Arabidopsis thaliana: one gene and its partner. The protein of the gene in region 1 purifies or fractionates together with the protein of each later gene. This does not show direct contact. Each region holds a gene or a part of one and is shown on either strand. Other genes may lie near its edges.

What was found.
Region 2: the proteins of EMF2 (region 1) and SWN purify together in Arabidopsis thaliana (affinity purification with mass spectrometry, with the first as the bait; one study listed by BioGRID). This does not show direct contact.

The regions. Positions count from the first base shown.
Region 1 is NC_003076.8:20,819,086-20,834,718, reverse strand, and holds EMF2 (VEFS-Box of polycomb protein), read right to left. Parts: upstream 11,076-15,633; 5' UTR 10,761-11,075; exon of another isoform or gene 10,655-10,760; 5' UTR 10,567-10,654; coding exon 10,529-10,566; intron 10,357-10,528; coding exon 10,209-10,356; intron 9,992-10,208; coding exon 9,936-9,991; intron 9,790-9,935; coding exon 9,675-9,789; intron 9,578-9,674; coding exon 9,418-9,577; intron 9,326-9,417; coding exon 9,275-9,325; intron 9,068-9,274; coding exon 8,928-9,067; intron 8,724-8,927; coding exon 8,661-8,723; intron 8,571-8,660; coding exon 8,449-8,570; intron 8,207-8,448; coding exon 8,142-8,206; intron 8,044-8,141; coding exon 7,991-8,043; intron 7,883-7,990; coding exon 7,829-7,882; intron 7,746-7,828; coding exon 7,686-7,745; intron 7,266-7,685; coding exon 7,219-7,265; intron 7,136-7,218; coding exon 7,035-7,135; intron 6,868-7,034; coding exon 6,648-6,867; intron 6,492-6,647; coding exon 6,443-6,491; intron 6,368-6,442; coding exon 6,284-6,367; intron 5,938-6,283; and 7 more. Other genes in the region: AT5G51260 (HAD superfamily, subfamily IIIB acid phosphatase), read left to right, coding at 1,253-1,638, 1,798-2,007, 2,320-2,497; AT5G51250 (Galactose oxidase/kelch repeat superfamily protein), read right to left, coding at 2,870-3,976; AT5G51220 (ubiquinol-cytochrome C chaperone family protein), read left to right, coding at 11,594-11,761, 12,090-12,303, 12,401-12,567, 12,671-12,795, 12,938-12,998, 13,103-13,151, 13,253-13,314; OLEO3 (oleosin3), read right to left, coding at 14,013-14,133, 14,244-14,548; EMB3142 (nuclear pore complex protein (DUF3414)), read right to left, coding at 15,311-15,391, 15,476-15,593. UniProt on the Arabidopsis thaliana protein: Polycomb group (PcG) protein. Involved in flowering processes by repressing unknown target genes and preventing reproductive development.
Region 2 is NC_003075.7:876,683-892,487, reverse strand, and holds SWN (SET domain-containing protein), read right to left. Parts: upstream 5,909-15,805; 5' UTR 5,796-5,908; coding exon 5,760-5,795; intron 5,509-5,759; coding exon 5,389-5,508; intron 5,289-5,388; coding exon 5,023-5,288; intron 4,883-5,022; coding exon 4,724-4,882; intron 4,471-4,723; coding exon 4,386-4,470; intron 4,283-4,385; coding exon 4,139-4,282; intron 4,051-4,138; coding exon 4,003-4,050; intron 3,919-4,002; coding exon 3,847-3,918; intron 3,604-3,846; coding exon 2,999-3,603; intron 2,910-2,998; coding exon 2,762-2,909; intron 2,441-2,761; coding exon 2,220-2,440; intron 2,149-2,219; coding exon 2,017-2,148; intron 1,924-2,016; coding exon 1,836-1,923; intron 1,746-1,835; coding exon 1,698-1,745; intron 1,619-1,697; coding exon 1,490-1,618; coding exon of another isoform or gene 1,411-1,489; coding exon 1,333-1,410; coding exon of another isoform or gene 1,282-1,332; exon of another isoform or gene 937-1,281; coding exon 745-936; 3' UTR 501-744; downstream 1-500. Other genes in the region: AT4G02030 (Vps51/Vps67 family (components of vesicular transport) protein), read right to left, coding at 56-226; AT4G02010 (Protein kinase superfamily protein), read right to left, coding at 7,266-7,646, 7,750-7,897, 7,980-8,223, 8,345-8,716, 9,078-9,290, 9,527-9,898, 10,040-10,456, 11,001-11,031. UniProt on the Arabidopsis thaliana protein: Polycomb group (PcG) protein. Catalytic subunit of some PcG multiprotein complex, which methylates 'Lys-27' of histone H3, leading to transcriptional repression of the affected target genes, mainly abscisic acid (ABA) responsive elements.

The DNA of each region.
Region 1 (15,633 bases):
GACATAAAAATAATCAAATCTGTATCCCTTATCTTTTTTTTTGTTGTTGTGATCAACGAAAATAATTAAAATTTTAACACATGCTAAATAGTGTTTATTGACTTTTTCTCCAAACGTGAGATAGTTTTGGTCATAATACATTAATGGTATAATTAATCAGCCCTTATAAACACGTTATTGGTTAAATAACTTGAAACTTATGTCACAATCAATTCCATTAACACTCCACGCGTAGGCGTAGCTTAGCGTGCGTGCAACTATCCGCTATCATAAGTTCCCATTATCACTAGTATTAAACTTTGGATTAAGGATCTTACTCAGATTTTATAATAGTTTATGAAATTTTGTTACTTTTATAGTCTCTTAAATCAGAAATTGACTTCATTAAACAGATCGTACGAAATTTTCTGATCAGTAATTCTTTTTTCCTTTATAATTCATCACATACAAACATAAAATGAAAAAAGAAGAAGACATTTTAGAAATAACTTAAACTCTACATCTAAACTTGAATACCATGTCTAAATTAATGTATTATTTAACATAATAAAATGTCTATTTAAGTAAAATTAAAGAATAATAAAACTCGAATCACATAACAAGCCTTCATTGCCGAATAATTTAGACATTAAACCAAATTAACCAAACATTTTTTTTTTACCAGACTATTATGTAATGCATATTTAAAAACTAATTACGTCAGGTGAAATTAAAAAAAAAAAGGTATGACGCCGTCAAAGGACCCGGTAGTGGACCCAACGGTGCATCAACGGAATCCGGATCTACCCAATTGTATCTTAATTTTAGATCCGAACCCGAAACGAACAGATTCTTTTATTGGATTAATTAGTGAAAAATAAATAAATAGGCTTTCTTTTCTTACACGTCACCGACCGACCACTCCTGTCTTTGACATTCTCCTCCACTGCTTTAAATGAAAGAAACAGAGCACTGTTCCGATTCTTTTCATTTCTCCATTGAAATTACAATTCAAAGCTTTCTTCTTTTGTACGTTATTCCATTAATCCAATTTGAAACTTTCAAAATTTTCCCTTTTCTCTGGCTTTCGAGTTTTTCTCGATTCCTTTCTCCATTTTATTCTTTCCCCTCTTCTTCAACATCTCAATATAAACCCTAATTTTGATTCTAGTTTCTCAATTGGTGTGAATTCTCAGAAATTCAGAAAACCCTAATTTCGTTTTTTTCTCTGTTCGGTTTTTTTTTGATTGATTCGATTTCCTTTGATTCTCCGATGAGGATTTATCTGATTTTCCTCGTGGTGGTTTCCTTATTTACCTCCGCGTTTTCCGATTCGATTCTCGAGTACCCGTCGGAAATCGAGAGTCGACACAAGAAAGCTGCCGAAGAAGATGTCAATTTGCATTGTACGACCTGGAGATTCGCGGCGGAGATGAACAATCTCGCGCCGTGGAAAACAATCCCGGTGGAATGTGCCGATTACGTGAAGGACTATGTGATGGGTAAAGGCTACCTCACCGATTTGGAGAGAGTCTCTGAAGAAGCTTTGATCTTCGCGAGAAGCATCGAATTCTCCGGCGATGGCAAAGATATTTGGATTTTCGATATCGATGAGACTCTCTTATCCAATCTTCCTTATTACATTGATCATGGTTTTGGGTACATTCTCTCAAAACTTTTACTTTACACATTTTTATCTCAAACTTGGTTTGGTTTGTGTATGTTCATGTGATTCTTTTGCTAGAGAAACTCATAAAAGAGGACAATTGGTTATAGAAAATGCTTGACTTTGTTGATTATGTTTTGGGAATTTTGAAGGTTGGAGCTTTTTGATCATTCGGAGTTTGATAAGTGGGTAGAGAGAGGAGTGGCACCAGCCATAGCACCAAGCTTGAAGCTTTACCAAAGAGTGTTAGATTTGGGATACAAAGTTTTCTTGCTTACAGGGAGGAAAGAGAGTCACAGGCTTGTCACTGTTGAAAATCTCATCAATGCTGGTTTCCAGAACTGGGACAAGCTTATTCTCAGGTATAATTATAAACAAATGCAGCTTCTTAGGTTGTAACTATACATGCTTCTAGGTCATGCCATGAGTTTTTTCGTTATGCAATGGTTGATGCCGGTGGCATATAGTTTGATAAGAAACATGGGTAGCTCTTTGATTTTAAGTCATGCAATGAGTTTGTTCGTTATGCAATGGTTGATGATGCTGGTGGATCATATAGAATTCTGGATCTCTGCAAATGGTTTGATAAGATATCTTAGACATATCATCATCAGTTTTGAACATCCTTTGTTTATTCGTTTTGCTTTGCCCTCGTGTCTGTGTGTGATGTGCAGATCTCCAGAGGAACAGCACAAAATGGCGACACTATACAAATCTGAGAAGAGAGATGAGATGGTGAAAGAGGGATATAGGATTAGAGGCAATTCAGGTGATCAATGGAGTGATTTGTTGGGTACCTCCATGTCTCAACGATCTTTCAAACTCGCAAATCCAATGTATTATATCCCCTGAAGGGCTTTATTTGACGACCTATATAAAACATTTCAAAAATCGTATATACTTACTATTAGAGCAATCAAAGTGTTTTTAAAGTTGGATTGCCTTTGCTTGTAACTTGTCAAGCTACTAAATGTACTAATAACAGAGAATGCTCTGTTTTATACAGAGTAGATAGTATATAGTACTACTCGTTTTAACTTCTTTTTTTCACAATGTATTCGTGATCATCTTTAGTTACACTAAACTCTAGTAAGCCAAAATTAAAACTCTTTAGTTTCTTTTTTGTTGACATCAAATAATAAGAAGTGCATTAAGAGAAAAAGTCACATTCATTATCGTTGCATACTCCAAAAGAACACATGTTCAAGCCTTGTGGCACATTCATCACAAACTAGCAGTAAGAGCCTTAACGAAAACATGTTGTTTAGGGACTGTAAGCACATGATCAAACCACTCAACCTTTCCCCAAAAACTAAAATTTAGGTGCCTTTTAAGCGCAATCACGGCACACCAAATCATCATCTCATCTCTGCCACCAGCCCCACAAGAAGGGCGATCCTCTTCCCATAAAACCGCCATCTTTCCACCATAATCAGCCAATCTAACAAACATATTCTCAGGTAAACTAGGTAGTCCTAACAAACCTTTCAATATTCTCCACATTCTTAACTTAGTATCATACCATCTGAACACTCCGCGATGAATATAGAACAAAACATTATTTATCTCGCAAAAAGAATATGAAGCCCTCATACCAAACATCGTTGGTATAGCCTTGTCCCATCTACCTTCCTTGTAAGCATACACCACTCCGTGAGTCGTCTCCACGTGAAACTTTCCATCAATACATGCGCTTTTGGAGTAAAAAATGCCTTTTGTCTTGCTGCATGGGATGGGCTCAGGATGCCACACTTGTGTTTTTGTGTCGAACACCTCGAACAAGTTCTTACAGGAGTTGGAATCGCCATTGCCATCTTTGTAGCTTCCTGCTACATATATCTTTCTGTCAAGGACGCTAGCAGAATGTGACATCAGCTCCACCCGCAAGCTTGGAGCCTCGCGCCACATGTGAGACTGGGAATCCAGAATCGAGACACTAGACGAGGAGGGTCCTAGGTAAATGGATCCACCAATGTTGTAGATATCAGAACCAACCGCCACGAGACTTGAAAAGTTTGCAGGAGGAGAATGGGGAATTGGCACAGTAGCCAAAACATACCCATTTGACTTCTTCTTCTTACTGGTGTCATTGGTTAGGGTTCCGTCAGGTTTCCGACAGAGAGTGAACCAATGTGTGTTAGGGCCAGAATCAAAATGAAAGCACACGTAGAGACAACTCTCAGTGTGGCCTAAGAGTGATCGGGCTTTGTAAAGGTCCGGTGAAGCTAGTAGAGATCGGAAGCTCTTGGAGACAAGAGAGAGAGTCGGATAGTACAATCTTGAGATGCGTGCGAAGATGCTCAATAGCAAATCATCGGGAAGTGACGACATGACTCTACTGTTTAAGTTCAATATGACACATAAGTTTTTCCTCTTTTTGTTTTCAATACTTTAGAAACAGATAAGAAAATAAAAAATTGAGAAAAGAGCATGTATAATTACTTGAGCAGCAATCTAGGGTTTTTGCCTCGGATCGGATCGAAGCAAAGGTAGATTATTTGTTGATCTCAAAGCGGATGCTACAGGAAGAGCGATTTGATCCTTCGCTTCCTAGGGATGATAGATCAAGAGCGCATTGAGTAAAGCATTTCAGTTCATGTGGATAAAATAGATATCACAGGGGTTTTTGTTCCCATAGATTGTTTCCTTTAGGGTTTGTAGTGACTTCTTCACAGGCCCCGGCCCACATGGCCTAAAGATTTTCTAAATCTATTCTAAATATTGGTGATTGACAGAACAATGATGAGACTGAGATTGATATCCCTGAAGATTTGCTGATAATTGAGCACGAACATCTAGAGAAGAAATAGTAAAGGAAGATTATGGAGACTCATTTGCAAAAGAGAGTGATCATAATTTCTTTGAAGAGAGAGATCGAGCTATTCTAAATCCAACAAACCAAGATGTTAATATGATTAACGAGTAATTAATATGCTATATCACATTATATCAGATAACAACGTTTTTTTCTTCTAATACCCACATTAGTTTATGAATTTTATAGGAATTGATTAGCTATATATTGCCATGTGTAGAATTGAGACGTCGGTTACAAACACAACTGATATTATGGTTTACTCTCAAGAGTTTCTGAATAGCATCAAATTGTTTAGATTGACTAACAACAGTTTGCGACTGAAGATTGGTGGCCCTCTCATGTTACTTGGAAATATTGATCATAAAATTGATCTATGCAATGGCACTAGGTTATATATCATTCAGTTGGCTAATCATGTTGTTAAGACTAGATTTATAATATATAATAGTGTTAGTGCTAAAGTACTCTTGATCCATACGATGCTTGTCTCTCAACATAAGCAAGGTTCCCTTTTTGAGAAAGTTTTTGATTTTGCAATCTAAAAAGGTGAGCTTGTTTCTTCTACCAAAACTAATATTTTTTCATGGACATATGTTGATGCATGTTTCCAGAGTAACATCCATGTCTGGTTTCCAGTGTACAAAGTCAATTAGTATTTCAAGTTTTCAACCATATGATATCCTAAATGAGTAAGGAACATGTATAAAGCATTACTCGAAGAACAAGCGTCAAAGATAAGCCAATGTACACATTTATAATTAAAAAAAAAAAAAAAAAAGATGAGGACAAATTCATGCATAAATATGCTCCTCTTTCTCTTAAAACACCAAAAGTAGTTAAATGAGAACCCAAAACTCTTCTTCTCTTGTCTTTCTTTGTTTTTCTACTTAAATTAATGATTTCTTGGGTTTTCAAATTTGGAGCTGTTCGAGAAAGGTATTACAGTTGTTCATGGTTCGGGCATCAAGAAGACCGTGGTTCCACAGTTTCACCATAAACACTCTCCAGCACCTACACAAAAAAAGCTCACTTTTATCAACAAAACCGCTTTCTTCTCCGATACACTGGAAAAAACAATGGAAGAAATGAGAGTTGAATTACCAAATCAAGTGCGGTGTTCGAACCATGATGGGTCCGTGCAATCTTGAGAATGCCTCGCATGCCCATGGAATGTGACCATCTGCTAATACTCTGCAAAGGGTCCAAAACCACTGTCAAGGTAATGCTTATAATGAGTCAGAGAACATGGATGCGTATGTTATCTAATTGTTCAGTTTTTTTTTTTTAACCAGAAGAACTCATGCAGGAATTATCCACAACCTTTACATGCGCGACTCTAAATGTTTATACTGGAAAACTCCACGTGACATGTACTGAAAAGAGATAAGACATACCGCTGCTTCCTCACAAACGAGTTCCACATGTGCATCATCTGTTTCTCATCTTTAGTCACATCAACGAAATCATCGAGCATCTGAAAGAATAGTAATAGGAAATAACGTTATTCACTATATGGAGAATCAGACAAACTATGTTAGAATCAACTATGTTAGAATCGAGTACAAACGGACACACTTCGTCTTTTAATGAGTGTTATATAAGCACTAATGATCTGGTTCTACTGTTCCATATCAAACCGTGAGGCTTGCTCACATATTTTCTATTGATCTCTGAACCATTACAATATTGCTCCTAACGTTTGCCCATGCCCAGTCTTCAATATTCCTTTCCCTTTCACATGAAACATATATCTACCCAACTACTGAGCTTTATTCTACCCAACTACTGATGCGGTGAAAATATTAAATTCAAAAACATACCCTTCTATCTTCAAAATCTGCCACATCATCATCAACTTCATCTTCACTATCCCGGTCCGAAAGTACTTGTTCTAGAGCCATGGGCTGCGATAGTACACATAGCAAAGTCAAAATCAATTGCAATCTTCAAAAGCAAGAGAGCTAAAGAAAAAAGATCACCTGAGCTCGATGAGAGTGGAAGAACTGTCTCTTCTGAAGGAGGCTTCGGCTGGAGGAGGAAAAAATTTGAAAAACTCACTCACATCATTTGGGATTAACAAGCTACTTGTTATAAAACTAGGACACAATTTTTCATGCATGAACCATATGTAGTTAAATATAAATTGAAGAAGAGGATAGAACGACAAAAGGAAGTCAAACATACTTCCTCAAGTCCGACCGTTCTATAGATATTTTCCTCGTTTTTGCAAACTGCAACATTGTACTTCCAGCTATCGACTGCACATAATCTGGATCCCCACATGATTGCACGTCTGCAGGACTCGTGCCAGGAGGAACTCTTTGACCAGACTCAGCACCCCCAATTCTTTCGTAATGCTTTCCAGGTGGTATTCGGCTCTTCTCACTTCTAACAGAATGAGCATCTGAAAGTAAGAATAAAAAGCTGTGCCAAATGATCCAACGTTGTTGCATGCAAAATTGCACATAACAAAGTAAAATACTCGTAAAATATACAACTAAGACAGGCTCTCATCACAAAAGAAGCCAATACTACAAATCCAATTAACTGTCATTTCAGTCAAACACATACCATCAGTCTTATCTAGCACCTCGCAACCTAATCCAAGATGAGGCCCTTGCCTTGAGCTCCGTACCTGACTCTTTTGCCTCCTCCGTCTGAATTTTTTGGAACTGTCACATATTGAAGAATTTTTATGGTCTCACACAGATGCTGGAAAGATAATAAAAGGCAACATATAGGCCAGATAACTTACGAAAAAAAGAAAGTTTGCTGCTTTGGGTCAACGTCATCCTCATTAACCTGAGCAGATTTTTTAATGAACATTAACATTTAGAAAACTGTGCTAAGAGTAATCATCAAATAGGAAAAACTACAAAGACATAGAATATATTGTAGAACCAACTACTTCAATTAGATTTGACACTCCTATATAATCCAGGACTTTATTCTACAGTCGAGCTTTGACGGTCTCATGGCCACAAAAAGTAAACAGAACAGCGATGTCATTTTGAGTTTATTCTCATCACGCTATTAAGGACAATAGCAAGGATCATAGTGTGACAAATAGCAACTAAAGATTCCAGTTCCCTTATTTAACCACACAAAAGTCAACAACCCATGGAGGATATTAGTTTAAATGAAAAATGAATTTGTTACAGCCTATAAGATATACAGCAGAGAAACTAATGAACATAAATCGAACAAACAAGATGTTCTAACCTTGGATATCATTGTCTCAGTCTTGAGGGAGACATTTACCGCCTGAAATTCTTCAGTTACCTAACCAAGTAAAGCAGATTAGTGGCACCCACAAAATAAAAAAAAAAGATCAAACAGGTTAACTGAATTTTAAAGCTACAAACCCAAAACTCGAAATTGAGGAGATCGTGGGTTGATGGCAAGTGATATCTCAGGCCCTACAACATGATTGGGAGAAAAAGAAAAGATTGCATCACTACAAAGACTAGTCACTACAGCTGTATCTTTGACTAAGAGGATGAATGAGAATGGAAATGAAAGTCCACCTTGAAACTGGCACATTTTACTAAGCAGAATGGACAAGAAAAGTCTTCAGTTACTGCAAGACACATAGCAAACATATACGTAACAGGTTAGGGTAACGGATGAAATATAGACACACATGGGTATGAAACAGGTTAAAATAATACTAGTTACCTTCAGTCTTCTGCAATTTGTTGTTATAGTATCTGTAGTTGAAAACTACATTTCCTGTTCTCAACCTATGCAATGAATGTAGTGGTATAGAGTCAACTTAACGAGATGGACATTTTTAGTTGTACGTAACGACTTGTATAATCCCCATAAAAGAGGAGGACAGTCACAATTCAAGAAAACTGCCAACTATATATTAAGGGAGATAGCAGACCGGCCAATATATTTTATACAATTACAAAAAATCATAATGAGATGAGGCAAGAAATCTGAGAGCGCAGAAGAAATTGCAGACTAAACTGAAGATTACCTGATAATTTGCAACAAGGAAGAGGAAGAGATGTCATTATATGAAAATGAACTATAAGGAGATTTTTCCGTTGACCCAACTTCTTCTGCAGATATGGTGACTTGCACTTGCTGCGGAGAGCTCTTCAAATAAGAAGTGTAAGAATTGTAAGAATATGATTACATGATATTTCAGAATAATGTATGGAAGTATAGCAAAGTGTGCAAAGTTACCGAGGTGAGTGGATTGCTGGGCACCTGAATCGAGACACACTTTTCCTCACTCATGGACTTTAGCTGCAGCAATGGACAAGTTATACCAGTAATATTTTCATTTAAATAATCAAGACTGAAAACTAATGGCAAAAATAAAATTCACAGTAGCAATTACTTCCAATTTACTTTTTCAAATAACAAAAGAAGTTCAATACACAGTCCTTATTTCAATACAGGGAGCATAAAGTCATAGAACAAGAGGAAGACTTGGGCAATAGTGTTTACCTTTATGAAGCAAGGCTGCATTTCAACAAGAGAGACTGTGTCTACTCTCTGTCCCAAGTCCATGTTTGGTGATTTCTGCCACGACGCATACAGTGATTGCAGAGGTATTTTGCTCCATAAACAATGTCCTCCTATATTTCCTGGCAGAAAAAAACGCTTCCGATGGTAAGAGTTAATGAAAAAAAAGACTTTCAGAAACTCTTATAATTGGAGTCAAAGAATCCCTAATTCTTTTGTTAATAAATAGGACTGAGATTTTCCATACTATTACATGGAAAATTGGTAATGCCCAAAGATACATAACTTTTCAATATTAGAATGTTATATCAATGAAGAAATGGAAGTACCTGAATGAATCTTGCCTGAATCAATGCCAAATTGAGAATTTTGCGCACCAGCTACAAGAAGAAAATTATGTGATCAGTTTATCTGAATACTGTACATATATAAATGTCTTTATATAATTTTGTACACAGTCAGTCTTAATCACCAAAGCTGATAAACAAGATAGCGAGTGATCCTGATTTTGCCTCCAATGCGAGTCTATTCATATCAGGGAGAAGAAAGTTGGCTTGGGCTTGACTAACTCCATCAACCCCCAATCCACCAGTTAGGATACATGCTCGACTGAACCTATATACTGCAGAATACTATAATTTGAGAATTTCAAGAAAAATGTTAGCAAAGAATAGGTAAGTTACAAATAATAAAGATCAATGCAAATCTGTCTGAGGTTCAAATGCATACCTCAGCGACAGGCTTAGGAGAAACGAGTCTTGCCAACAAAATATACAGAGGGAATAATTTTTGAGTTTGTACCCCAGCATCTATAGCGCCCGAGAGGAATACAGTCATTTGTATTCTGCAAAGCAGTAATATATATTGATAACTATCCGAAAACTTAGAAAGCATTCAAGTCCGGAATGAATTACTAAGGTATAGTGTAATAGTTACCCAAAAGTAATGGAGATTCTGAACAGAGAAAGGAAGGAAAAAAAAAAAGCTTACCTCCTTTTATGTTTTGCCTCAATCTTATAATGCAAACATCGCTGAAGAAACAAGGGCTACAGGGGAGACAGAGAGAGAGAAATGATTAGGATGGACTGCATAGCAAGACAACACATACTTGCTTATACCAAATGAAGTCAACTCAAACTACATTTTCATGTAAATTTTCATTGTCAAAACTCAAAAGTAAACCAATACATGTGATATATCAGCTGAGCTCATAAGTCATAACTAAACATATTCTGTCTAAAAAAGGTAGGAAGGAAGACATACATTCCTAATAGCACGGCGTTGAATGATATTGTAGAGTTCAACAGGCTTGCAATAGGCAGCCAAGCTCTCTTCAGCAGCAATCTCCTCCTCTTCCGAAATACGCAGACGGGAGTCTTCATGGCACATCTGCTCTGTGCTTCTTGAACAACTGTGATTTCACCATCATACGCAACCAAAATTGTAAGCAACCCCACAACAAAATAAAAATTTGATAAGTTTGAATTACTAGGATTCCTCAGCTTATACATAAGAGAAACAGTATAAAGTTACACAATGCTGCAGAGACATTATAGAAGCATTAGGTTGTTCATGAGACTTACGAAGAGGTTTCACGACTAACAAGAGGAATGCCTGGCATTCTCGCTACGAGATCCTAGAGTACAATACCATACCCAGAATCAGTGCATACACCATCACAGATTACAAATTTGCTTCAGCTACAAAAGCTGCAACAAAAATCGTAAAGAAGAAAAACCCAATAAATCCCACAACAGCAGAAACGGGTATCAAGCGATTAGCAGGAAAAAAAATGTAAACTTGAACAGTGGTGACCTTCAAAATCCAGCAAAGACTCGGAGTTGAGCTAATTAGATAAAGAACAGATTCAACAAATTGACAGAGATCTCGAAATCAAGGAGAAGGTGAAGATTAGGATGGAGATGGAACAGTTAACTCAGAAGAAAAAAAAAACCCTAATTGTGAGAAATTATCTTCACGCGAATACAGAGGTGACTTTGACAGCTTGAGAGAGAGAAAGAGAGAGATGAAGCGTTTCGAAGAGTAATAAAAAGTGTAAATTGATGATATTGTTGAGGAGACCGTAAATATTTTTGCTCTTGAGAAAATAAGCGTAAACCATGTCCTAAATCAGTAAAATTCGGTGCACAATAAAATCTAATTAAAACTCTTTTCACTAATTGAAACTAAATTCCCCAATGGCCATGAGAAAGCATAATTTCTTAACTATTCAATATAAGCCACTTGAGTTCAAATTAGAGATCCACCAAAAAAATGGATGACAAAGTAGTCATAGTTCCTTATCCCCCTAAAATGATAATGGTATAAACAAACATATTTTATGGTATCATCAACTCTTACTATCTAAAATCGACCATCAGTTTCGTGTCACCAATATCGGTAAAATGTGTTTGTTTTTGCATAACCAAGGTTTTCCGTTCCTAATAACGGCGTAAGTTAGCACTGTAATTGAATATCTGGCCAAATAGACGCTAACGTGGACGACTACCTAGCCCCATCATCAATCACACAGAAAAGGAGTCGGAGAGGGTTTTTCGCCTAGGGTTTTAGAATTCGATCTTACTCATTCAAATTTCTCCCTTCAGATTTATTCATCTGTTGAGTAAAACCACAAGGGTTTCTCTCTAATGTTGCCCAGATTAGCTCGAGTCGTCACTCAAACCTCAAAGCTTCGATCTTTGACCACTAATGGATCGATGAAAAATCTCTCCTTTTTCTCCCGATATGGGTACGCGACTGTTGCGCCGGCGGCAGCTGATCCTCCGTCGCAGAAGGATTTCCCCAGTAAATCTCCGGTATGATCTTAAAGTGGTAACATTTTGTTTACTCAGATTAAAGATCTCGTTTTCAGAAGTAGCTGTTAATGCGTAGTTGTTGTGAATGTTTAGGTCTCACTATAGTATTCGAACCTAAGCTCAATTTGATTCTCTCTGTTTCTAGTTTCATCGAATGCGGGACTAAAGTGACTTCTGCCTCCCCATTGTACCTCATTTAGGATTCATCCCTTTTTTTCTGTTGGAGTTTCATTAGTATGTTTGTGATTTAGATTCATGCTCTTTTAGTCAACTGCTTCTGGACAATCGTGTCTTCTTTGATGAAAAGGATTTGTTCTATGTTTGACAGATAAACTTGGATAAGATGTTTTGGTCAAAGCCATGTTCATTGGCTCTGCCTAAAGACTCTCCTCTCAGAATTGATGAACCAGACTATGTAGGGATTCGTCGTTTCATACTAAAGATGATGATGTTCTATAGCAAACAGAGCATGTCTATCCGTGGGGCTAACGTGATCTACAAGCGGATCATTGCACAAGTTGATAAACCTGCAATATATGATGGTACTTTATTTGGTTTCCAACACAACTTTTGCAAACAGAGTTATGTATTTACATTTTGTGCTTTGTTTATATATCGGGTGCTCTGTCTCTGCTGCAGTATTCAACTTGGAGAAAACATTCAAAATAACGTATTCGCTGCTTGTCCTTCATATGTGGCTTGTTTTACGCCGCTTGAAGGAAGATGGACAGGAAGGTGTTGACCTTGGTCAATACGTCTATGAGATCTACAATCATGATGTTGAACTCAGGGTATCTAAAGCCGGGGTACGTGCTAGACTTGGTTTTGCTTTAATATAGTTTCGAAGAGATATCTTAGTTTCTTAGATTCCTTAAAATAAGATGGTCTTAATCTTTCTTGAAATTACAGGTTAACTTGCTGCTAGCCAAGTGGATGAAGGAGTTGGAGAGAATATTTTATGGAAATGTTGTTGCCTATGATGCTGCGCTACTTCCGGAAGCTAAACCAAATGACCTACAAATCAAATTATGGAGGTAAAGCTTCTATAACGTCATGCTTTATGCAATGAGTTCGGTAGAGATTACACAGCTAAGTAGCTCGGCTTGAATTTATATACAATATGGCAGCCATAGATAACGGATTTGTCTCAGAACCTTATATGCAATTGGATTGTAGGAACGTATTTTCTGATGATGGAACAACAACACCTGATAACACAGATTTAAAAACAGCACAGGCATGATTTTCTCCTCTCTATCTCTCTCGCAAACACACACACATTGACATACTAGTTTAGGCATTGTGTACCAAACTTGTTAAGACATTGCTTGTGTGTTTCAGGCAATGGCAAGATATGTCCGGAGAGAACTTGGTTCTCTTTCTTTAACAGGTACCTATGACGCTATAGTTGGAATGCCTCATTATGTTACTCGCATTTGCATTTCGAATAGACATGCCTTTTCTTATATGGTTCTTTTTTGTCATACACAGATAAAGAGTCCATATTCTCCGGCAATTTCTCCTTCACCCCTTTGGAGAACAAGCCCCTGTGATTTGAATGAAATTAGAAGAAGCTGTGGTGCTTTGCGAATCAATCTTTCATTTGTTTCTCTGTTTCATTTGATTTACTTATATCAAACCAAAGAAACCTACACAAGGGAATGTGCTAGCTGTTAGCATCCAGATGATCATGAAAACAATGTGAAAGTGAATAAGATTACTGAATTAGAGCATTTACTGTCATTGGTATTTGGTACTTTAATTGGCTTACTAATGCTCAAAATCTTTTCTACAAGGCGATAGCCGATTGTAATTACTTATCTGCCATTCAACATTTTATGATCTTGTATTTGAAACAGTATTATAACTATAGTATGTTAGATCGTGGAATTCATCATCTTTATTAAATTCTTCTTTTTGTTGGTCTTTGAGGTTAGCACAACAAATGAATTGGTACCACATAATAGCAGCGCTTTTATAGAGAACAAATGTTCATGGTTAAAGATTTCTGCTAGCGTAGAAGGAGATTATGAAGATTTGTGTAATGTACCAATGACACTGTCTATATGAAGATTTCCGCTCGCATAGAAGGATCAAAACATTACTCATACAACAACAACAAGATTACATCATACATTGCATGTTATTATATATCACACATTACAACATAAACGTTGAAAATAAAAACAAAGAGAAGAGATCTAACGATGGATGACAATTTAATGTGGAAATCGTTTTTAGCCTTTGAATTTTAAGAAACTTGTTGGTGTTGGACTCCAATGTTGTGCTGCCCATACTTAGTATCCTGCACTCTGCTTCCAACCTTCATCCGAGCATTCTCTATCTTATCCGATCCAGATCCCGTCATGTGCCTAAATACAATGACCATATTCTCCAATATTCAAACTTTCTATAAAATATAACGTGCATTGCAAGCTCGGTTTGAAACGGTAGGTCACATTTTGTGTGGGTCGTAAATTACCTGTAGAGCCAAGAGAAGGCGGTAATGGCGGCTATTCCAAAGCCACCGGATGCAAGGAATCCGGTAATGATGAGAGCAACGGTTACCACTGCTGGAACCAAGACGGGGCTGAAGATGACGAGGAGAGGAGTAGCCACCGTGAGTGCGATGACTGTTCCAGCGAGTGTTAAGCCGGAGAGGACAAGTAGGGATCCACCGGCTGTGACAGCGGTTGCTGCCTTCACCATCTGCCTGGCCTTCGGATGGGCCTCTTGGGTACTGTCTCGGCTTATCATCTCGTGATGGGTTCTTGTTTGGTCCGCCATTGGTTCTTTTTATTATAATATATCCCTCCAACACAAATAGTAGAAATTAGCAGAGAAAAGGTAGTGATGTGTTTTCGGAGTAAGTAATGATGATTTATGAAGGAGAGGAGCGCTGGTGGGGCTCGCTTGAGCCATGTCACGTGTCAAAAGTGTCTTCATGCAGCCGTTGCATGTGTTAATGAGTAGAGATGGGTCTTTTTTGCGACACGTACGTCTGGGTCTTTTTTTTTTTTGCTATAGTACACAACATGGACCGGGACATAAGTCACGTGATGGACGTTATTATCGATCGGTCGTGATGTTATGGTCACTCCCATTCCCCCACTCTATAGAACTATAGAAGCAAAGAATTAAAAGGAAGTTCGGAATCCACATCCATTAAGCCAATCGGCCCAAAACAACTTGGCTCACAGAGAATAGTATTAGTAGCTCTTCAACTCAAAGGTGTGAATAGTTAAGATTGTTGTGAATTAGTAGCTCTTCGCCTCAAAGGTGTGAACGGTAAAACTTAAAGGTGTGAATAGTAAACAGAGAATAGTTAAGATTGTTGTGAAAAAGAAAAGCATTAAAAGTGTGAATGGTAAAACTTTTGGCTTTCATAACTTTAAAATTAAGCTGGAGCTTTTAAAGTTTTTTCTCAAGAGTCTCAGAGAAAGTATCATTTGAAATCATGTGGATTTACTATTTTGTTATACAGACTCATACTACAAATTTAGATTTGGACATTTGACACACAAAAATACATTTCTTGAGAAGCTTATTTCATACACACTTTTGGATGGCCATTTCTTTTACAGTCGTTGCCAGTCTCTGGAACACCTTCAGGTTATGTCCTACTTTTCCCTGGGATAGACAAATCGGGTCACCACCACCTTTCACTTTCAGCACATAAATAATCGAAAACTCTCGAAAATCGATTAGGCTTACCTCATTCAGTAATGCAAGCCTATCTATGGTAGGTGACAATTTGCCACAGAGATCTGTAACTTCCTGTTGTATATGGGATTTTGAACCATATGATCCCCTTTCATTTGAACTAACGGATCTGCATATGTGAAGTGTTTAGCATAGTATCTTAGAGCAAA
Region 2 (15,805 bases), on another chromosome or scaffold:
TATTGACGCTTGTGTTGACGATTCACGAATATTCTGACAAGAAACGAAGACTAACCATGAGATCCATGTACTGATCAGCATCAAAGGAAGTGCTGTTGATGTTATCGAAAGAGGCGTTGATGGAGGAACCACTCGTCGAGATTGAAGGATCCGGTGCGTAGAAGCTCGACAATAGATCTCTCATTCTCTTCGCCTTTTCGTCCATCGGAGCTGCCTCCGTCGCCATTTTTCTAAACTCCTGCTTCTTCTCGACGACGAAAATATCTGTTACCGGAAGCAGAATTTTGGCGTCGGAGATTCGTAATGTGAATTGAAAAAGCAAGAAGAAACTGGATCCGACTAATCAACTGGGAAACGGATCCGTATCCGATTCGAACCGGAATACGGTTTAGCAGTCGGATTACTTTTTATGAGATTAGGCACTGGTTTAGTGTGATTGGTTCGTTCACTTATTTTAAATCAGTTTTATTCGTTGAAAAGTACATAGATTGGCTTTAGCTGTTCAAAAATCCATAAATTTGAAACTATTTTTCGAAATGATACATTTTTACTTATTGACCCCAATAATTCATAAATTGTTTTATCACCTATACAAAGTCCAAACTCGATGTCAAAATAAAATAAAATCTCAACTCTATAATAATTAATTAATAAAGACAAGCTTAAGTTATCAAACTTCAAATATCATCTCTCACAACTCTATAAGTTATTTTTATAAAAGTTACTTCTCTTAGCCAGTAATCATCAATGAGATTGGTGCTTTCTGGCTCTACGATGAGTAATGGCTGAATCATCTTTCTTGGAGCCTTCAGGTTTGCGAGCCCACACTGGTGCTTGGTCTGGTCCATATCTATAGTCATAGAAAAGCTCTTCGCTAGCTTCTATTCGTTCGTTTGCAAAAATCCCGACCCTGTGATCTCCTGCTACAAACATCACCTACACCACACAGAAAAAGACACCGTACTTATGCGGGAAGCGATGAGACCATGGTTACTACGACAATAGACTGAAAATCGCTCTTTTTTGTAAATAATTAACACCTTTCGAAAAGGGTTGAATAAATCTAGCAGATGATATACACATGTTACTTTACACATTACAATCATAAAGATTGTAGAAACAAGTGTGTTTTGATCATAACCTACAAAGCTAGATTTGATCATCTGTTTTCTATAGTGCTAATTGCGATTAGTTTCTACAAAATGTTATAATCCTAGTCCTCCTTCTAAATGGAACTTTTGAGTGGCTAGAGGTGAGAAAGAAGGTATAATTACTAACCGATCATGTGGTTTTTTCATACCAAAATGGATATGAGAGAGAAGCATTTAGTACCTTAGCGTAGCAATTGGGTTTAGCTGAGTGATTGGCAAATTTCAGCTTGTCACCTTTGCGTTGAGCATCGAGGACGTACTGCAAATATCAAAAGCTTACTGACATATGCGAAATTCAAGAGGAAACTATCAGAAAGAAGGGTGAGAGATTTGGTCACCTGATCATTCAAGTCAAAGAGGAAGGACGAATTTGCCCGGTCATATATTTTCCCACGCTTATCCGCCTCATGGTGTGAGATCAATTCACCGGTGTATTCTCCAAGGTATTCATTTTTGCTGACCGAGTTCTGATGATCAGATGAGGTTCAGATTACATACAAGAGGTATGAAACAGAAGTTAATGAGGAAGATATTCACATGCTTTACCTTTAGAAAAGCACCCCATCCAGCAACATCAGACTTTCCCAATAGGATCTGGTAAATATAGCACATGAGAAACTAGATTTATCAACAATGAATGCATTTTATTTTTAGTAAATACATGATTTGATGACAGTATTATACCCTCTGTTGTTGCCTCAGGAGAAGTCTCATGTTTCCGCATTGCCCTTCTCCGCGTCTTGGTGCTTCACCGAGAGAACCATCTCCACAACTGAGTGAATAAGCAAGGCATCTTAAGTTACTCATCAAATAGTAGATTTGATTGTATATGGCACATCAAGAGATCTAGATTTAAAATGACTACCTAACCCAGCAATTTCTGCAAACATCTGGATCACATTCTCTGCCAGCAGCAAAGCAGGGACACTGCCTACTTCTGCATTGACTCTTTGCACAATGACATCCTCGGAAACGATTTTTACAGCTTTTTGAGCACCTGAATTAAATCAATGGATGGTTATAAGAAGATCCTCTGTTACTTCAATTGACGTTAATTTGTTTGCATACCCGCAATATTTCTCGCAGCAAGTTTCATTAGTTAGACAAGGGCAATCCTTTCCGCACATTGACAGGCATCCACACGGCGTGTATTGTTTACAGGACTGGTTTTTGCCACCAGCTATTCTTTTCCAGACAGACGGATGACCAGCAGACTTTGTAGAGTATTTTAGCTTCCGGGTTTTGCCTTTTCTACGGAACAATCTTGTCCTTGGAGGCACCTCATCATTCTGTCAAGTAAAGTAAGAGAGCGGTAAACCAAAATATGATTCTGACAGACATGGCATGCTAATATCAATAAAATCTCAAATAAAATAATCACTTGTCTAAGCCAACTTATGGTCAACTATCGTTTTCTCTTGTCCAATGCAGGTATCAGGGAAAAATTAAGCAAGGAAATTGGCTTTTCCGGATCAGAACTTTTTTCTTCTGGAATAGATCTCTAACCCTATCAGTCTGACAAGCTAACTTTCAATACAACAATGCCCAAAGTCGCAGATACTGCAGAAAATTTGAAAAGACAAAAGACCCTAGGAAGATCAAGAGCTTACATCATTCCCTGGGTCAGTCCTGCCATCATCCAACAGCAAATTTGGGGTACTAGATCTTCGAAAAACTGAAACTTCGTTTTCACGCATGTAATTGGACACATCTAGGCATGTCTTCAAGCCAGAAAGCAGGTTTCTTGCAATAAGACAGCTGAGATAGCACGGACAAAACATACTAGATGTAAATACGTTATAGGTGTTCTGTGTTTAAAGATAATAATTTACCAAGATCCAGTTTACCTGTTTCTTCCAAAGATTTCGACTCCCTTCAAGTAAAGATCCTTCTCGATAGGATTCCACTCTGTAGATGGTCGACTTGTCTCAGACATTTCTGCAATGATTATTGCTCCGTTTCCACTACCATGGTGTGGCTGACAAATTGAGGAACCACCATCATGGACCGAATTGTCTGGAATAGGCTCACCTACTTCTTTTGCATCAGCTTCTGAGTCTCTGTTTACTTTATTGTCAGTTGTTCCACCTTGATCACCCTTTGTGCTATCCAATGCCTGATCTAAGCTAGGGACAGAATTAACAAATGACATTTTTGTATCTGAGGCTGCGGTCTTCTGTTTCTTGTTCGATAAATTAGGCAGATCATTGGAGTCTTTTAGAATTGGGACCTCACGCTTTCCTCTAATTCCATGCTCTTGTTCTACACCAGAGGATGAATCTACATTCTTGATACCAATATCAGTCTTCTCAACTTGCAGACTGACACCACTAGCAGCAGCATGGGGAACATCAGAGGAGACAGCCTTGCTGCATTCCTCTTCTGAAGCTTTCTCTTCTGCTTTAGATGCAAAATTACTGCATGTTTCTGGTACTTCTCTGACCGCCTTGAGCTAAAATCATTAACATAAGAATAATGGTGATTCAAACTCTGGAACCAAGAAAAATTACTGCATAAACAAGACTATGCACTAGTACAACTACAATGAAAGATCACTCCTCTAGCAAACGCATACATGCTAAACCTCAATCTAGGTCAGAGCATATATTCCATGATCTCACTAATGAATATAGTTTATTAACTACGAATATACAAATCACTCTGAGAATGTAAAGAGACAGAGAGAGAGATAGACCTGGAGGTAACAATGTTTGCTGCAGGGTTTCCTATCACCTTCATAATCAGACCAATAAGGCTGTTTTTCACTCTGTCAACCAAAGTTCTCTTGTTATGTTGTCCACTGAAACTTTAGCAATACAACTAAAGAAAGTAAAGACAAATTCAAGCTTACAGCACTAATCAAAGGCTGAGAACATCCATGCAGACGACAGTCAAATACCTGTTAGAAATAACCAAAGAAGGATTAACATGATTAACAAACACTTAATAATACATGCTCTCTCTGTCACAAAGAACAATCCAAGTACCAAGCAACGGCGGCAGAAAAGATTATCAAAAGAATCTAGAGCTGCACCAAGGCCCTTTTCCAGAGATATTCCCAGCTTGAATCCGGAATTAGAAAATTCCTCGGTATTCTGCTTATCCTTCAACTTGAGCTCATTGTATCTTTCCTGCAGCAGACAGGAAAGCCAAACATCATTAGTGAAGAAGAATAGGAAGACCAGAAAAACATCATTAGATAAACCACAAGAACAAGATGACTAAAAACTGCACCAGGATATCAGAAGCATCTACGCTTAGCAACTGGCAAAGGGCATCCTGCACTTCCTCACCCATGCCATACTCCTGCCCAATTAACCTGCCAATTCAAGTCAAACGAGGTATGAAGAAATTCATATATAGTGAGATATATTTCAAACCTAATGCTAATGAAGAGTCTTACAGAATGAAATTTGATATGAATACGAAATATGACATCTTTTTTTAGCATCAACAAATGTGATTCATTGGTTAATAAATTCCACCCAGGTACTTCTTCAAATACCAGTATCACAATTTTTCCCCATCAGAGTACATGAGAGTCCATAATTTACACTCTCTGCAAAACTAACCATATAATGGAATCTTCACCCTCGGAAAATTCACGTTTTTCCTCCTCAGGTTCTGGTTCTTCCTCACTATCGCTGCATATTAGCGTCTCACCACCATGTTGTTCATAGTAGATTTGTCTTCGACCAACCACAGACTGATCTTCAGCCATTCTTTGATTTCTGCATGGTTAAGATATTTTTTCAGAAAAGAAAAACAACACATAATATGAAAACTGAATTTGATGTTCTAGTCTATTGTTCAACTGAATTTAGAATAGCATGCTACCAACGCAAAAATGAGAACTAGAAAAGGTGCATGCCTGTCCAAAAATATCCAGGTAGTGTATGGCGGTATTCTCTCAGCAATAGGAAGCTTGACACTTGCTGATATAACATCCTTAGTAGGAACATAGTCTCTATCTCCCACACCATGAGAAAAACCATTTAACTTGCAGAGTGGCATTCTCATTCTCGAAGAAAGCATATTGCTATTTCCATTATCCTCTGCGGTAGCTCGGCTCGATGCAGCAGATGAAAAGGGAGAAACATGAGCATCCACTTTCTTTCTATTAGCCTCAAATTTCTCCTACATTCCCAGGAAAACAATCAAAAACGGATAAATGATTTCAAATTTTTTAGACATTAGTATAATTAGTAAAGAACATCAAGTATAGAAACTCTCTTACTTTAATAGACCTAACTCTTTCTCCTTGAATTTTCCTTTTAAGCTCACTTAATCTGTTTTCCAAACCCTCGAGTCTATCTTCTTCTTCTTCACCATCATCATCATCATCTACATGAGACTTCTATTCAGAAGCCCAAATCAAAACAAAAATCGTGTAAAAAACAAAAGCAACGAGGAAAAACACTAATTCTATAAGGTCCATCAACTCCAACAGTGAACAAAAGTAAGAGAGCGATTATAATTTGATGAACTCAAACGGATTTCACGAACAATCAGCTGAAAAAACGCGAATGATCATGCGCATACGAGCAAAATCAGATAATAAATCAAAAAAAAAAAAAAAAGAGGAGATTGAAAGGTAAATCTGAGTACGATTCGTCCAGAGGAGTTGCTATCGTCCGTCACCATTGATGACTCCTCGAGCTTTCCGCTTCTCTTCCGCTCGAACTTTCTCTCTCTCTCTGCTTTTTCCGCAATCAGACTTGTGAGAAGGACGAACGGAGTGTGGACTGGAAGGGGGGTTACATTACATACAAAGAACGCCACACGTGTGAATGAATAGTGCTTATACGTGTGTAATTTAATTAGTGGTTTTGCGACAATTATTTTCTATTTGTGATTATAATTGTATGTTATCTTAAAGATAACTATTACGACATGCCTGGCTCTGGAGCCGTTGAGGCTAATAATGGCTAATATTATTAACGTCAAAGTCTCTAGAGCCACACAGGTTATAGCAGTTACGTTTGAGATAAGTATTAGTTGTAAAGTAATAAACTCTGAACGTAAAAATATTAAGATATTTGTGATTATAATTGTATTTTATCTTAAAGGTAACTACTATGATTTGTGTGGCTTTAGAAACTTTGACGTTAACAATACTAGCCATTGAGGCTAAGAATATTAGCTGTAAAGTAAAAATCTCTGAGCGTAAAGATTTAAACTGTAAAGATTTTTTTTTTTTAACATATGTATGCTTCTTATAAACTTGTAAAGGGAGATACAAATATCTTTCTAACCATAATGGTGGTACAGAGAATTAATTAACTGAGCCTTTTTAGATAAGATGTCCGCAGCTGCATTTCTTTCCCAATTAACATGTGCTAAGGAAGAGAACGGAAGCTTCACCATCCAATAACGAATATCATAAAGAAGAGTGATGATCTTATTATGATCACTCTGCGTATTGATCAGATTTACTAGCTCTGCATTATCGCTCTCAAACCACACATAAGTACATAATGTAGTCCTCGGGACCAAGTCACTTGAAGGGCATGAAGAAATCCGAGAGCCTCTGCTTGAAGAGATAATTGTGACGATTGAAGTTGAGCACGCCCTGAACTAAGGAAACATCCATTGCAATCTCTGTAAATCCATCCTGAATGTATGACAGTCCTTTCCTGAACATAACCACTATCAAAAATAATAATAATAAAAACTGTGATTTTAACTAATAAGAAAGGAATTACTTTAAATATTGGTTTGATACCATAAAAATTATATTTAAAATATTAGTTTTTCAACAGATTATATTTTATTTAGATTATTCCATAAAAAAAAAGTATTATACTGTTACTTTTAGCTGTAAAAACTTTTACTGTAAAAAGCCTTTAAAAATTAACAGTACAAACTAATCACCTGTACATAGTTTTTTTATATTGGAAAAAGTATATTCAAATTCTATTTGTATATCTGATGGTTGTGGCAAATATTAATTAATTAACGCAAAAATATATACAAAATTCTATCCTCCAATAAAGGAGAATCCAAAATCCAAAGAGCTGTAATAATGTCCCAAACTCAAAAGCTTCTCTGGTGGAAATTTTCTCACCGTAAGTGGGAGAAAAACAAATAAAAAGAAGAAAACCCTGGCTTCTATCATCGGCCTTCGTGAAGATCTTCTGAGAAAACAGTTGTTCGTGTAATATTTTCATGATCAAAAGCGCTTAGACCAGAATAAGGACCAGAAGAGAACATAGAAGAGGTTACTTCTGACTCGAACGTAGCTGATGATTGTCTCCGGTTAGGACGAGCTTTATTTGAAGTGTTTAAAACCGGGTCTTGATACTCAACCACCCGTTGAACCATTTTAAGTGACTGAACCACTTCGCCCATCGTTGGTCTCTGGCTAGCTTCAGGTGCAACACAAGCTGCAGCGATTGTGCATACTCTTATGAAATCTTCTTTCGGGTATTTTCCTTCAAGTCTTGAATCGACTAGTTCTTCTAACCGGTCTTTGTCTCTTAAAACTGGCCTTGTCTGCATCCAGAATCAAATTTTTACATTCGAGACTTCAAAAGCTTAAGTTTTCGACAATGAAAGTGCAGGAAGATCTAGGAGATGACAAGAACTTTCTACTTACCCAAGTGACGAGATTTTCTTGGCCTGAAGGTTGTGACATATCCACAGGTTTTCTACCAGTTAACAATTCGAGAAGGACCACACCGTAACTATAAACATCACTCTTGACGAGTAGGTGTCCCGTCATTGCATATTCAGGCGCAACATATCTGAAAACAGATCGCGGATTCAATAGGCAACTCAGAATTTAAGGTTGTATATGAAAACTGTCGAGAGATATGAGCAACTCACCCAAATGTGCCCATAACACGAGTAGATAAGTGATTACCCCTGCCTTCAGGAGCTTGTTTGGCTAGGCCAAAATCTGCAACTTTGGCGTTGAAGTTGTTTTCAAGGAGTATATTAGAGGCTTTAAAATCTCTGTGTATAACGGAGGGTTGCGAGTCTTCATGAAGGTATGCAAGTCCTCTTGCAGCATCAAGTGCAATCTTCATTCTGGTGTCCCAATCAAGAGGACAGTTCAACCCGAGAGGCCCTGAAGCATAAACAATGACTTAAATAAACCACTCTTGTAGATGAACTCAGTGTACAATAACTACTTTTGACAATGTCAGATCTAAAAATAGGCAGCAAGGGAAGCAAAGAGGAGATATTACCATGGAGCCAAGCCTCGAGGCTGCCATTTGGAACAAGCTCATAACAAAGTAGGTGCTGAGAAGAATCTCGACTACTATAGTAACCCACAAGTTTCACAAGATTACGATGATGAAGACGGCTAAGCATATCAATCTCCACCTGGAATTCTTTATCACCTTGTGGCCCACCACTTGTGAGCTTCTTAATCGCTACAGCAGTACCATCGGCTAAGATGCCTCTGTAAACCTTGCCAAACCCACCTTCTCCTAGAATGCTAGCAGATTCAAAATTGCTAGTTGCCTCTTTGAGTTCTTCATATGACAGAAACCGTGTACTTGCTGGGTGAGGAAGAGATCCCCCAAATGAACCAGCGTCCAGGTTCCTTGGTTTTACTGAAAGAAAGGAATATGCGATCAAGTTTTTACTAAGAACAAGAACTAAAAGTTAATTGCCAGGATTTAGGAAAGTAACATAAATCACACTGGTAAGTGGACAGCAATCATTCATCATCTATGTATCCCCATTTTTCTCAATCCTTTTGTTTGATTCCTAAGGTCTGTTGGCTTTTTACATAAGGTCTGTTGACAACTAACAACACAACTTTAAACCCAATATAAAAGTTGACATTATCCCAACATCTATGCTAACTTCCCAATGTGCTGCTCACATGATGTGTACCTTTTGACATGATTCACGTATTCCTAACTGAGATCGGCCTATAATTTAAACCTTGTAATCAGAAGAGGTACATACCAGCTTCTTTGTGAGGATCTGGAGCTTTCTCTTCTCGGAGTGCGCGGGAACAAATAACAAGTACAGTGATTATGGCAAGTATAAGCACACCAGCGGCTATAGAAAAGATAAGAATAAGATTGGGATGCCTCTTTTTCCCTGGAGATCTTACTGACGTAGTTGCTGAGGATCCTTGTGATGGTGCTTTATGAGGTGAAGAAGCCACTAGAGGTGCTGCAAACATATTAAGACCTATCTTAGTGCAAATGCAAGGAATCATGGTGATATACTCCAAAAAGCATCAAACTGGGAGATGCTTTTTTAACATAAAAAACTATATCAGTCTACTTTCTTTCGGCTATGCTATCTTGAATGTGATGAAACTTTGACCGCAGATGTGAAATCAAATGTGCAGAATTGATGGGGCGATTGAATTCTTTCCCAGATACAATTGTAGAAAAGTACTTTACCTTGCGAAGGTGCAGGGGCCTCAAACCAAGTAAGGTTTAGAAGTTTGTAATCTCCCACCAAAGTAGGGCTAAATTGAATCTTGTGGCTGATAAGGGAAGAGTTTATTGCGGATGCCTGACTAGCTGAGAAACTAATTCCAGAATGAGGGGTGATATCCATCGATATGTTCATCCTTGATAAGCTTAGCACATAGAAGTTAATCAGCTCGATTTGGTGAGGTAGGAGACCAAGCTGGGTAGCAAATTCGTTCAAGAACATGTTCCAACTAGGAGTTTCTGAAACATTCAAGAGAAGGATGTCCAGTTTTATAGGATACACGCAGTGGCAACCAATACTTCTTCGTTTAAGCACCATATCTGATTTGCAACAATCTGGAAGAACAACAAATAAACACAATGAATCTTGAATCAAAAAGTTATTCAAATTCAAAATGGAAAAGAGAGAAAGTTGAACTTAAATTATCCTTGTAAAGGCTAACATTGATTTAGTTATGAGAATGGATAATTTCTTACTTGAAATGGAGGGCGACAAAGGTGGCTGAGTTAAGGCATCAGGAAGAACACCATTGCTAGATTGTGCTGGAGCAATATCAGCCAAGCCGGCTCCAGGAGACTGAGCATTCCTTTTCATGGAAGGTTTGGAGAAATGTGAGCTGGTAGGGGGATGATCAGAAGCGACCAAACGACTATAAGGGGGAGAATGCTGAGGTGCTTCTGCTTGTTGTGGTGCGAAATACTTTCTGTGAAACCGCGGAAATTCAGCTGGTAGGGGCAGATCAGTGATAACTGGTGAAGTTGAAGGTGATAACGTTGGTGAAACTGGCAGTCCTTCATGTTGAGCATCAGCTAATTGAACACTGACGAGAGAAACCACACAATATACAATAACCACCGCCTTCAACGCCATTATTAGGTCATCTCTTTGTGAATCTGGGATTGTTATATCGTTAAAAACAGTGAGATAGAGCTAAGACAAGAACAGAACTAAAGCTAGCCATGTGATTAGGTATTGCAACCATTCGGGAGTAATTTTGAAAGAATGTCTTTAAGCAACCTAATGAATTCAACCTACTATTCTATATTCATGAAAATATACAAAGACATGGTCCAAAACCCAAATCACTTCCAACATACTTTGCCTTTTTGAGCCTGGATAATCTAACATATAGGTCCAGAGCTAAAGATCATGTACCATATATTTAGAAACTATAAACCTAAAAATCTTGAGCACGATAAGTTCAAATCCAAACTACATTCCAAATCTATATTGTGACTTGATATTCACTAACCAAAATCAGAGTGACCTAACAGATAAAGAAACAAAGTAACTAGATATCACATAGGTCCCATAGACAAAATTAGAAATCCGAAACATCACAACTTTTTTTCCTCCAATTTCAAAATTCCTTAAAAATCGAGATCACTACACTTGGAAGAGACAGTATAAGAAGCTAATAGATAAACGAGAATTTACCAGAAGAGCTCGCGAGTGAGAAAATCGACATCACCGACACTTTCTCTTGCCTTGAAAACCCTCAGATCTACACAAAAACTCGCCGCGAGAACAGAAACTCACAGCGGAAGACGAAATCTCAAGAAAAAACGAAACGTAAAAGACCTTAAACCCGGAAAAAAAAACACTCTTCAGGGGGTTTTCAACGGTGGATCCGAGAAGAGAGATATATTAACACCACTAAACAGAGTTCCGTAAACCCTAGAAAGAGAATCCGCCATCGTCACCAACGATTTTCAGCTCCCAGAAAAAAAATATTCCGTTGGCGGAGATTTCTTCGGATTCACTCAGCTTTTAGTACTGTAGAAGCTCCATCTCTCTCTCTCTCTCTCTTTTTTTCTCTTTCGAGAAATTATTTTAAAAAAAAATTAATTGTTTAGTCCAAAATGTTTATTTAATATTCTTTTTTTTTTTTTCTGATCGTTTCGGTTTTTGAATGCGCGACAAAAAGAAGAGAAGCGTGCGGCGTACTTGAGCGTATATGTCCACGCACACTAAAATACGCCGTTAACGGAAAACAAACATTAACGGTAGCTAAAAACAAAAAGCGTCACAGTCAGTCAGTCAGTCACTATCGGACTTCTCTGTTAATATTTTGATCCGTTAAAAGTTAAAATGAAAACCAATGTTAAACCGGAAAAAATAAAAAATCCTTTCTTACAATGGCAATGGTATCGAACAATTTACTTAAGGTTCTAAAGGTGAAGTGGCAGTACAATATTTTCGAAAGCTTTTCTCAAGAATAGATAGCTAGCTTGAATGATTCTGCCCGGTGAATAAGACGATGAACAGATAGCTAACCAAACATGTCAGTAATGTAGAGATTCGACGAGCAGCTTTCGGAATTTATAGTGGCAGTGTACCAAGAGCCGACGTGAAGACCAGACCCAGACCAAAAATGGGTAGAATAAAGGGGCATCGGTGCAGAAGCTCATCACAATTTTTGGATTTTTTTTTATGTTTTAACTTTTAAGACCCATTGTTAAAAAAATATTTAGACTATAGCCCAATTTCTTAACAATGGACGACTTATAAAAACCTTGTTACGTTGTTAATTTTTCCCTCTCTTCCAAATTATTTGATGCTTTGGGTTCTTTTACTTGTTCCACAAAAGATTAATGTTTTGTAAAAGTATAATTATTAATTTTGTTTGTGGCCAATATTAAAAGGAAGAGATAACAATAATATTATTAAACTAACAAAATAATACTTAAAAAATAAAAAATTTACTTTTTCGTGCAAAACGTAAAACATCAAATTTTATGAAATAGAGGGAATACAAACTTTAGCAAATATTCTAGATGGTTAGTAATCAGAATCATCAAACATTAAAATATACTATTTGATGATTAGGATTTGAAGAATAAATAATTTCGGTAAATAATTTTGTGTCCACATGTTTCACTTTTGAATAATAATATTTTAATTTATTTAATGATAATGTGATCGTGTTACATAAAAGATGTATTTGTAATTTGCTTTTTCCTTAATATTTTTTTTGTTGTTCTTTTTTGGCATGCTATAATTTAATATTTAACAAATTTTACATGTAACGCTTATGACGTGGCCACATTCACTAATCACAACACGCAAAAATCAAAACATTTGTTTCTAAAACGTAATGTAGCCGTTATTAGCGTTGGCGACAACGTTAGGAATGTGCCACGTGGCGTATATAAGCGTATCAAATTCCCTGAGATTTCTATTATAATGCCAAAAAAAAAGGTTTTCATTATTCTCTTTCTCTGCGACTCTTTGATCGGCGATTTTGAATTTTGCTCTGTAAGTTTTCGTTCAAATCTTCGGTTTCATCTGGATTTATCATGACTTATCGTTCTCTTCAGTCAGTAATTTCTGTAATCGATGTTTAGGGTTTCAAATTTTCAAGTTCTTTCCCTTGTTGTACTCGATTTGAGTATAACTAATCGGAGATTGATGGTTTTCTCTTCGGTTAGTATTCGCCTTTAAGTTCTTTCTCTCGTTTCTCTCTTCAATTTGGGTAAAATTAAACAAAGATTTATATAATCCTCTTCATCGAATTAACTCTTTAGGGTTTCAAATTCTCAAAAATCGCTTTTCTTTTAAGATCTTGCGATCTTTTTTGTTTTGATTTACTCGATTTTACTTCCAATTAATCGAATATTTGTGTTTGATTCTTTGAATTAGGGTTTCAATATCTGTAATCGTGAATTTAATTTTGAGTACAGTTAAGCGATCAAAGACTTGTATATTTACCTAACATTGTTTTTTTCTTCTTATTGTTGCAGATCATGTTCGTATAAGAAGACAGAGACTGGATTCTTCTCTCATTGATCACAGAGAGTTTTCTCGAGAATGCTTTCGCAACAGTCTACATACTCTTCAGGTAATTCTCTGAACTGTGGTTTCCAATTTGCTATATAGTTCAATCCCAAGAGATTAGACATACGGTATTATTACTGGTTGCCCTTGTGTCTGAATCTAAATTGGGATAATTTGTCCCTCTGTGATGATCTAAAAGATCGGAGACAATTTGTCCTGAATCTCGAAAGATACCTACGGCTTAAACCGTTTTTACGGTATAAAAACCAACGGCTTAAATACAATTGACAATCTCAAACCCATGGCTTTGACAGAGCCCTTGGTTCAGATGAGAGTTCCTTAAGGTTCAAGTTTCAGATGGGAAAAGGGAACAGAAAAAGCCCCTTAAGGTTAACACAAACCAGTGACTACTTGGTCTAAATGTGTGTGGTATAAAATAAGCCATACACAGTGAGATCGCAAATTTAAAGAGGATATGTGCACCAAATGATAACTGACGCAACTTTTTTATTTTTCCAGATATTTTTGAAGACTCAGAGATTTCAAAGTGTCTATGGACTTCAAGATTGGTATGTGTTTCTCCTTAAACTTGTATTTAATTAGTTTTATATTGTTACATACTTAGATTATGGCGCAGATCACAGCGATAATTGAAAAATAGACTCTGCATAACATCCCTCAGGTACTTTCTTGGTGATTTTTAGAAATTGTTTGATGCAAGAATATGAAATTACTTTAGGATAAGGCATGTGCTTCTCCTATGTTTGTATACGATTGGTTGATATAAGTATTAATGTTAGAAATCTTAAGTTAACAAGATCCTGCTTTAAATACCTGAGCAACTGATTCAATGGAATTTATTTGACAATCACTCTTCTTAGTGCAGGGTATAAAAATGTCAACAAAGATAGAAACACTATCATAATCAAAACCTACTTCTGATAAAAATGAAGAATTTGTTACATTAATTGCAACTCGGTCTTAGGTAAGTAAACAATTTAGATAATCGTTAGAAAAAGATACCTTTTACTTGTTTAGTATTGTTATGAACATTTAGACGTGAGAATATGATTTTATTGGTTGTTTTATGGACTATTATGTGGACTATGGTTTATAATTTGAAGCTATGGCTTAAATCCGTTGGTCATTCTATGGATTATTCTTTGGAGCGATGGCTTGAATTTTGTTAGTGGTTGCATGATCTGTACTTACTTAAATATGTGTATTGTGTGGTCTAATATGCTAACTTGAATATGTGCTTGTGTGGTTTATGCTTTGAAGTTGTGACTTTTTCGGTTGTTTGTTGTGTAGTATTTGTTTGCTTGAATATGTTGGTTGTTACACGGTGTTTTCTTACCTTAATCTTTGTGTTGATTGGTTTAGTGCTAACTTGAATACCTTGTTTGTTTGAGTGGTCTATGTATTAATTCAAAAAATAGCTATTACTAACATTGAAATTTATGATGAACTCGAAAAGAGATGGTTATTGATTGTCCTTGGAAGATTATCTTACTTGATTTGTAATGATTGCTTAGTAGTGGTTCGATATGAGACCTTTCTTTTGTTATGAGTGTCTGAGAAGGGAGAAAAAATATTTAGTGCTCAATTACAATTTTCGTTGATCAACAATATCTCTCCAGATTACTATAAATTACGATTATTCATGGATATACATTTTAACAAGTTATATTTCATCATCTGTCTTTCAAGTTTGATTGCTCCGTTAATTTACTAATAGAAATCATTAGTTTCTAGTTTTGTGTTGTGTTTCTTCGTGTCTGAAGCTAATTTTGTAACCGTGAATGATACTAGTTCTCTTGTTTCTTGAAAGATTTCAATTTCTTTGTTATGTAAAGTAACTGTTTCCAGAGAAATTGTTTAAGTATGAAATACTTGTTAGCAGGTTTTTAACCTTTGGGGTTAAAAAAACTGGTGAAAGACTCATCAATGTTTCCTCCAAAACATGAGCCTTTGATACCAAATGGTAATGATTGTTTCAGGGTTCTTCAACATCTTTAGCTTTCCTTCAATCTTCCACAGTCTTGCTTTCTTTAGGAACATTCTTCAGAATCTCTAAGAGAGACCACAAGCGTTTTGTTCTTAGTCTATTTCTTGAATGTTCTCTTCTAGTTCTAGTTTTTATGTAGCTTGTTTGGCTTGAAGTTATCTTCTTCCTTTTAATAGACGTTAGAATATGGTTTATAGAAACCAAAACAGAACCACAGAAATTTTTGAAGTGCTTAAAAGATAGATGTTACACATATGATGATGTCATCAGTTCCGTTTTCTGGTGATGATCAAATTGTAGAATTTGGTTTTAAATGTGGTTTCAGTTTTCCTATATATGTTGCGCAATTGTAGAATGAATGTTTCCATTTGTTCTTTACAGAAACAAGATTTGGTATACACTTGTCACCTAAGACTCAAAGTGCTTAAGTAGAAAATTGCGTAATTGTGAAAAGTAA